Linked DNA regions of Kluyveromyces lactis. The protein of the gene in region 2 binds, or shares a complex with, the protein of the main gene of each other region. Links are inferred from orthologs where the notes say so. Each region holds a gene or a part of one and is shown on either strand. Other genes may lie near its edges. The genes, in order: RPC19, RPA34 and RPA14.

Region 1 (2,361 bases), on a different chromosome or scaffold from region 2:
CGGAAGTCATTACCTCTGTTGTAGCTGTTTCTGTCAGAACCTCTGCTACCACGGAAGTCACCATGAGTGCTGCCCATGTTGTTTCTGTTAAATTGATGATCTCTTCCACCGCCGAAACTCATTGTTCTCTGTATAATGTGTGAAATAAGTTGCTTGATGTTGAGAACCAAACGATAAAAAAAAATGCACACTTGTAATACTGAATGAACGAGGATCAGAGACAGGTTTGAATAATGTTTGCAGCTTATATATTAGTTTCAAAGGGCGATGAGGGAACTTGCAAATTTTTCAAAAAGAAACAAAAAAGAGAGAAAAAGAAATTTGTACCAATGTACCAATTTACCAAAATGGTCACGTGATTACATTAGCCACTCCAGCTACTTTTGCCAATGGTATATCCAACGGTGCTTCCAATGTGCTAGATTACCAGTAGCTATAAACGTAGAATCAATAGATATTATAGTGTATTATACAAGGATGATGTAGTTGTGTATTTAATTCTATTCTCTTATATATAGTTAATGCGGGAGCTGGAGATAACCAATTTCTACATTTCCCTGATTCTTTGCGTGAATCTGTCCTCTACAGCATCACACATGTCCATTAGATCTCCAAGACCCTTGTGCAAAGCCTCTACAGCAGTAATTTTGCCGTATGTTTGAATTCTAATGTGCAAAAAGTTTTCTGAAGGATGAGGAATAGAGTAACCACAGAATTCTACCTCCGGGTTTTTCATGATCATATAACGAAGCGTGTTACCAAGGGTATGATCTTCATCTGTTATTCTGAAAGAAGCACTAGTACCATCTTCGGAAGTAGCTTCTGTGAGAAGTTTGATCTTTTCACTGTCCACTTCTTCCTCCACTTGATCAACTTGATCATTTTGTTCAGCTGCTAGCATATCAACATCTTGCTTTTCCACTTCAGCCATATTTCCGAGAGCGCTTATGAATGGTCACTTAGGTGGTTTGTGCGTACTTCTTTCAAACAGTCAATAAGACGAGATGACCTACTCTGTTAAGCTGAACAATTTGTCAATATTGATTATGGTTTTTTCGATAGAGAGAAGAGGGAAAACCAAATCATGCTAAAGGAAAAAACAAAAAGCTTACCCGGTCTTGACCGGGTAACTGAAAGAAGCAAGTTGATGCGAAATACCAGATCACGTGTCACACACTTCATCAGTTACCGCGCAATGCACAGGTGTTGCTCATAGCCACGCTCAGGGTACCACACCATAGTATATAAACAACGGATCCCGAACAAAAAGCAAAGTAAACTAAAAGAAATGAGAAAATGCGACCAAAGCGAGACATACCCAAAGTCCCTTGGCAAAAATCATCAGGGGAGGCCGTTACAGAATTAGCATAACAATCCGGGTCAAGTATCAAATATCATTCACAAATCATAAAACAAGGACAGTCCGTATACCTAACCAGTTATCAGCTAAAGTTTCCATCATCACGTATAGTGCTGTTTCCAATCTGTTGAACTAATATCATCATTCCACGGAAAACCCCTTACAAAACACCGTACAGACACGACAGGATCAATCAGTTTTCCTTCTCCCTTCATTCATCATTGCATTTTTCAAAAAAAATACCTATAAGAAGGAAGGTATAAAAAAAAGTTTTTTCTTTTTTTTTCAATCTTGGTTTTCTCATCGTTACATTATCATTTTGGACCAAAGCCCAAAAAATAGTTGTTACTTTTGATATCAGTTTGTTGTTATTGGGGCAATCAAAATAACGATATTGAATTTCGGTATTGGTACTGGTATTATTGACCATTAACGTTTAATATTTCACAATTTACCCTTGAGATTTGGTGATAGGAGATCTGAGTGTTGCATCTCCGTTTTAGTAATAGGTTTCCCGTGAGATTTTCCTTTTAAAGCAACACGCGTTACACGATGGGCAGCACAGAAACTCAAAACAATGGTGCTGGTGGTCAGCGTCAAGAGCAAGATAGTGCTCAAAGCAAGGATAAGATGCCTCCTCCTCAGGGCCAACCCGTGAACCATCCAAATACTTTGACTTCTTTGAACCAGCCACCGGGTAGTGGTCAAAGACAGGATTCTCTTTCAATGTATACGAATTTCAATCAGCCAAGGTTGTCTACGGATAGTTCGATTTCTTCGTTTTTGAACATTGATAATCAGCCGGATAACAGAGGGTCTACTTCACAGATGGGACAAGTGCCTAGCAACACGGGGCAAGAGTTACCCTATACTAGAGGGTTCTCCATTGTTAATAACCTTTGGAACGCGCCTGCCCCTCATCCGCAGAACGATGTCGCCTTCACTACCACAAGAAGACAATCTGAGCAATTGGAACCCTTCATGCCCAAGTTTAATACATC
Region 2 (2,519 bases):
GGATATATTGAAAGACTTGAATGAATTGAAAAATCAGTTCAAAAAGATCAAACAAAGCAATGCCCCCATCTCCAACTGGCAAGAAGTCACCGAGTGGACGCCTAGACCATTTGGCGTTTTGTAATTAGTATAATTAAGCCTTTTAGATACATAAGACAAAGCAAGAAAGATTGACAGTTCTACAGGTTCTGCGATGATAACAGGATTGAAAATGGAAATGGATAATAACATATAAAAAGATCAGACATCCTAGGAAGGTCTCAATAAAGAGCGGTCACTGAAGAGTACTAACGATGGGTTCGTAGGCGTACTCCTACCGTGGAAACTGCGAATGTAAAGGAACCAATTTTCATCATATAAAAAAATGTTAAAATCCATAACGCACAATCATGTTCTTAGCTAAAAAGAAGAAGTGAAACGTTTTGAAGAAATAAATGCAACAGAAGATACGACGATGGATCTTGTTTCACTGTTACTTTGACCTTAAGAAAACTAAAAAGAGAAAACTCAGATGATCTAAATTGTACATGTCAAAGCATGTACTGGCTTAAAAAGTCGTTGCCCCGTAAGACAACAACATGGTAGACTCCCATATCGTCATGGTCGATATCGGACTGGGAAAGAAGTGTAGACCGTTTTCATCATCGTTAAATGTTTTGAAGTTCTTTCGTAAGGTATGAAGTAATAATGAATCCCACGTATATGCAAACTTTTACGTTTATTTCTTCATGGAAAAGGTCTCTTTTCCAAGCGTAACATAGACGAATCAGTGTTTCACGGCTGTGAAACACTGCTCCATCAAGGATACTATAAAGCTCACTTGCCAACAGCAAGTGAGGCTAGAGAACAACCTACAGAACTTTTCAATACCTAACCTGGATAAATGGTTTGATGAGTTTAACATGTCTAGTTTGTTTCTCATTACCAGCCTTTTTATATTCTTCGTGTCGAAGAAGCATGGAAAAAATTTTTGGAATAATTGCGTCGTTCGACATGATAATACAGTAAACCAAGTACTTAGGGCATCGATGTCATACCATTCAACGGGAATCATAGTATTAGTGATCCAATAAATGTTGCTCGAAGGCTGTTCAAGTCGGACATACCATTTCTCGATGGTTTGTGATGAACTGGAACAGATTTCATGAATACGATAGTTTGTTCCACGTGTTAACCACGTGCATTTTCCCGGGTAACGTCTAAAAAGAAAGAAAAGTCTTTCCCAAGATGAAAAAATTCGGTTTAAGCTCATCTCATCTCATTGCAGATTCAAATAGACACACAGAGGCAGATAAGTGAGGTTCTGTGTGGTCCTAGGGTTCCAATTACAGTTTAACTAGTTCAGGTGAGTTTTTGTTACACCCTTCCCTGTAATATTATTCCACTCGCAAAACGTTATAAGAAATATCTCAAACAATGGCCAAGGTCGACAAAACTCTTTCAAAGGAATACATCAGTGATAGCGACAGCGATAATGATGGATCATCAGAAACTGTAACGGACGTTTTCGTTCCACCTGAAAACTATAAGAAATGTACACATTTGAAATCATTCGTGAAGCCTAAGAACTTGAAGCAAAAAGAACTTTGGCTTATCAAACTTCCTAAATCTTTAGATGTCTCTAAGCTTTCGAAATTACCTATTGATTTCACAGCGGAGTCGGAAACTGGCATCGAACAAAAAGGTAAACATTTCTCTGTGAAGGAGGAAATCCAACAAGAAAATTCCACTTCTGGTGCATCTTCTTCTTCTGAATTGACATTATTGACTCCTGTAGATAAGACAAAGTTGACCGTCGATTCATCTGCATCAAGATCATTTGATAAGATCTTTACCATAAGCGAAACTGCAAAGATTCCAAGCATTGATTATTCTAAGGTAAGAGTGGATAGAAAGGATGTGTTGAAGGTTAAGGGTCTCAAGACTAGACATTTCGCAACTGGGTATTACGAGGATAAAGATTTGAAGAAAGTTAGCAAAAAAAAGAGAAAGCACGACTAGAGCACTCGTTCTGGTCTTTCTGTATATTATTTATATATAACGCACTGGTCATATTTTAATTTGGGTTATATGTAGAATACGTTCATTATAAAAAGTAGGTATCTTCATACCCTATCGGAATAATCTCTCAATATACCAGCCATATGTGTATTGGTAACTTTACCCTTTCTTGATCTACGTTTCTTGACCTCTTTCCTTGTGGTTTGCTCATTCTTGATCGTAGCAGGATCCACACTAGCAGGCTTGAGACCCAAATCTTGTAGTTTTCTTGGTAATTCACTACGCTGAGGTAGCTTACAAGCTTCCCACATCGTAACGAACTCTTCATCGATTTGCCTTGATGGACCAGCATGGTTATACCAGACAAACCTTGGAGAATTATCCTTCTTTGTCCGAAGAACAAGGATTCTGTTCTTTGCTTCTAACTCGTCGATTGTATCAAAACATTGTGGCCAACCATCTTTTAACTCTTTACATGATATACCCTTGAACGTCGCCTGTGATCTTAATAGTTGTAG
Region 3 (2,477 bases), on a different chromosome or scaffold from region 2:
TCACTGATCATTAATCATGATCATTATTTTATGTTGAAAAGTCTTGTAAAGGTTGCGCTGATTGCAGAGGGCAGCTAAATTGGGAAATTTCAGGTGAGAAAAGGGAACAGGCCCGGGTAACCATTTTCATTGGGTAGCTACATTTGTTAATGGCCAAAGAGGAGAGATGATGATCTAGTCATAAACTTCCATTGATATAAAAGGGTGTTGTATATATGTATTTGAGTGTCTTCCATTACCAATTGAGTGAGATCAAATACACTCAATTAGTCAATGGGTTGTTATAGACATAAGTATATATATAGATATCCCGAGCGATTGAAGTGTGATAAAGGGAAGAAAAAAGGATTAAAATGAAAAAAAGAGTCAATTCCCTAGCTTATTTCCTTACAATTCACCAGACTTAGCGATAACAATTCTGGCCTTGGTAGCACCGGAACCGGAACCCAGGGATTCGACCTTCTTGACGACATCGAAACCATCAGCGACTTCACCGAACACGACGTGCTTACCATCCAACCATGGGCATGGAACAGTGGTGATGAAGAATTGAGAGCCGTTGGTGTTTGGACCAGCATTGGCCATGGACAACAAACCTGGCTTTTCGTGCTTCTTGACGAAGTTTTCGTCTGGGAACTTAGCACCGTAGATAGACTTACCACCGACACCAGTACCGTGAGTGAAGTCACCACCTTGCAACATGAAGTCTGGGATAACACGGTGGAAAACAGAGCCGGCGTAACCGAAACCCTTTTCACCAGTAGCTAGAGCTCTGAAGTTTTCAGTAGTCTTTGGAACAACATCGTTGTACAATTGGAAAACAATTCTACCCAATGGTTGACCGTCAGCTTCCACGTCGAAAAATACCTTAGACATTCTTAGTTTAGTTTAGTAGTTGATACTTGGTGTGTTGTAACCAAGATTTTGCAAACCAGAACAGAAGAGCAAGAACTGGACTTGAATTGGAATTGGATTGAAGTTGAATCAGAGTTCAATTGAGAAAGTGGTTGGTAGTTGCTAACAAAGGGTGGCGTTGGCTTCGCAAAATGGTATTAGGTGATGACATGCGGCCGGGTAACGAAAACGGAAACCCCATTATCTTACACATCAACCGCATTGTCGCCGCAAGTCACGTGACACACGTGACTTGCATATTTTGTTAACATCGCAAGGCACGGAGAAACATGCCTGAGTTACCCGTGCCTCAGCTGAAAAATTCTTCGAGAGACAAAACCTGAATCGAAATAATGCGATGAGATGAGATGAGATGAGATGAGATAGCCAAAGGTTGGGTAAATATATAGATGCTGATTTGATTCATCGCACTCCAACGAACAACCACGTATACCATGCTAAGGGGAACTAGAAGACCAGCAAACTCCACTTTGAACACGCCCGTTGTGGTACATACGGTGGGCACGCCAACATACCTATCTAAAGACGAAGTACTACAATTCCTAGCAAGTTTCATTGCCGAAAAGGAATCAGTACCAGGCGTGACACTAGCGTCAAGCGGAGCTTCTACAACCCAGGGAGCAGTAACTTCTGGTGGCATTAGTGCCGATGAAATGGCTCTAGATACACAGCTTTCCAGTGCTCTTGCGCAGCTGAAAAGAGTCGAAAGAGATTTCAAAGGTCTACCACCTCAAGTAATGGAGATGGAACCCTCCAGCACAAGTTCTACTGGTAATACAGAAGAAGATACGGTGGCTAAATCTGCTACTGGAGGGAAAAAGATCAAGTTTGCTGATGTGCCGGAATCTTCACAAACCTCCAGTGACAGCAAACAAACATCCTCATCCTCGGAATCGTCATCAGACTCTGAATAGACGGCTGATTTGCACTACCCACGAATCGGGAGGGTATTCATTCATTATATATATATATATATATATATATATACATACATACGCTAAGTTACATACAGTGACCGTTATAATCAATGCATAAGCTTGGAGCTCACCCTAATTGCAACATACCACGTGACTTCAAATACACAACTTTTTCTTTTCCAATGGGCTCACCTGCGGTTTCTTTCACACAGAGAGAGTGTGAGTCAGTTGGAATTTTTCGTCAAAGTGATATGACATCAGTTGAAAAGAATATCAACATTAACATCCGATTCCTTACTACCAGGTATATATTTGTACACACTTGTAGCATTCATCGTTGCTCTACTTTGCTTCTAATATACTTATCTCATTTTCTTGATCGTATTTATTCTAAAGCGATAAAGAGGATCTGAATCTTGCTTAGGAAGATTAAGAAAGAATCACTACTTATAATATACTATAACTATGGGTAAGAAAGTCGCTGGTGTCTTAGGAGCTACTGGTTCCGTTGGGCAAAGATTTATCTTGTTGTTAGCTGACCATCCAGATTTTGAATTGAAGGTTTTGGGTGCTTCTTCCAGATCTGCAGGTAAGAAGTATGTCGATGCTGTGAACTGGAAACAAACCGATTTGTTACCAGAATTT

The links.
Region 1: RPA34 (region 2) and RPC19 share a complex: the UniProt entries of both Saccharomyces cerevisiae proteins name them as parts of the RNA polymerase I (Pol I) complex. The link is inferred for Kluyveromyces lactis from reciprocal best matches to the Saccharomyces cerevisiae genes RPA34 and RPC19.
Region 3: RPA34 (region 2) and RPA14 share a complex: the UniProt entries of both Saccharomyces cerevisiae proteins name them as parts of the RNA polymerase I (Pol I) complex. The link is inferred for Kluyveromyces lactis from reciprocal best matches to the Saccharomyces cerevisiae genes RPA34 and RPA14.

What each region holds. Positions count from the first base shown.
Region 1 is NC_006042.1:2,218,008-2,220,368, forward strand, and holds RPC19 (DNA-directed RNA polymerase core subunit RPC19), read right to left. Parts: upstream 932-2,361; coding exon 548-931; downstream 1-547. Other genes in the region: DEAD-box ATP-dependent RNA helicase DBP2, read right to left, coding at 1-122; AZF1 (Azf1p), read left to right, coding at 1,913-2,361. UniProt on the Saccharomyces cerevisiae protein: DNA-dependent RNA polymerases catalyze the transcription of DNA into RNA using the four ribonucleoside triphosphates as substrates.
Region 2 is NC_006037.1:552,885-555,403, reverse strand, and holds RPA34 (DNA-directed RNA polymerase I subunit RPA34), read left to right. Parts: upstream 1-1,416; coding exon 1,417-2,001; downstream 2,002-2,519. Other genes in the region: rRNA-processing protein LAS1, read left to right, coding at 1-124; transcription factor TFIIE subunit TFA2, read right to left, coding at 2,106-2,519. UniProt on the Saccharomyces cerevisiae protein: DNA-dependent RNA polymerases catalyze the transcription of DNA into RNA using the four ribonucleoside triphosphates as substrates. Component of RNA polymerase I (Pol I) which synthesizes ribosomal RNA precursors.
Region 3 is NC_006040.1:1,414,798-1,417,274, forward strand, and holds RPA14 (DNA-directed RNA polymerase I subunit RPA14), read left to right. Parts: upstream 1-1,349; coding exon 1,350-1,829; downstream 1,830-2,477. Other genes in the region: peptidylprolyl isomerase CPR1, read right to left, coding at 388-876; HOM2 (aspartate-semialdehyde dehydrogenase), read left to right, coding at 2,298-2,477. UniProt on the Saccharomyces cerevisiae protein: DNA-dependent RNA polymerases catalyze the transcription of DNA into RNA using the four ribonucleoside triphosphates as substrates. Component of RNA polymerase I (Pol I) which synthesizes ribosomal RNA precursors.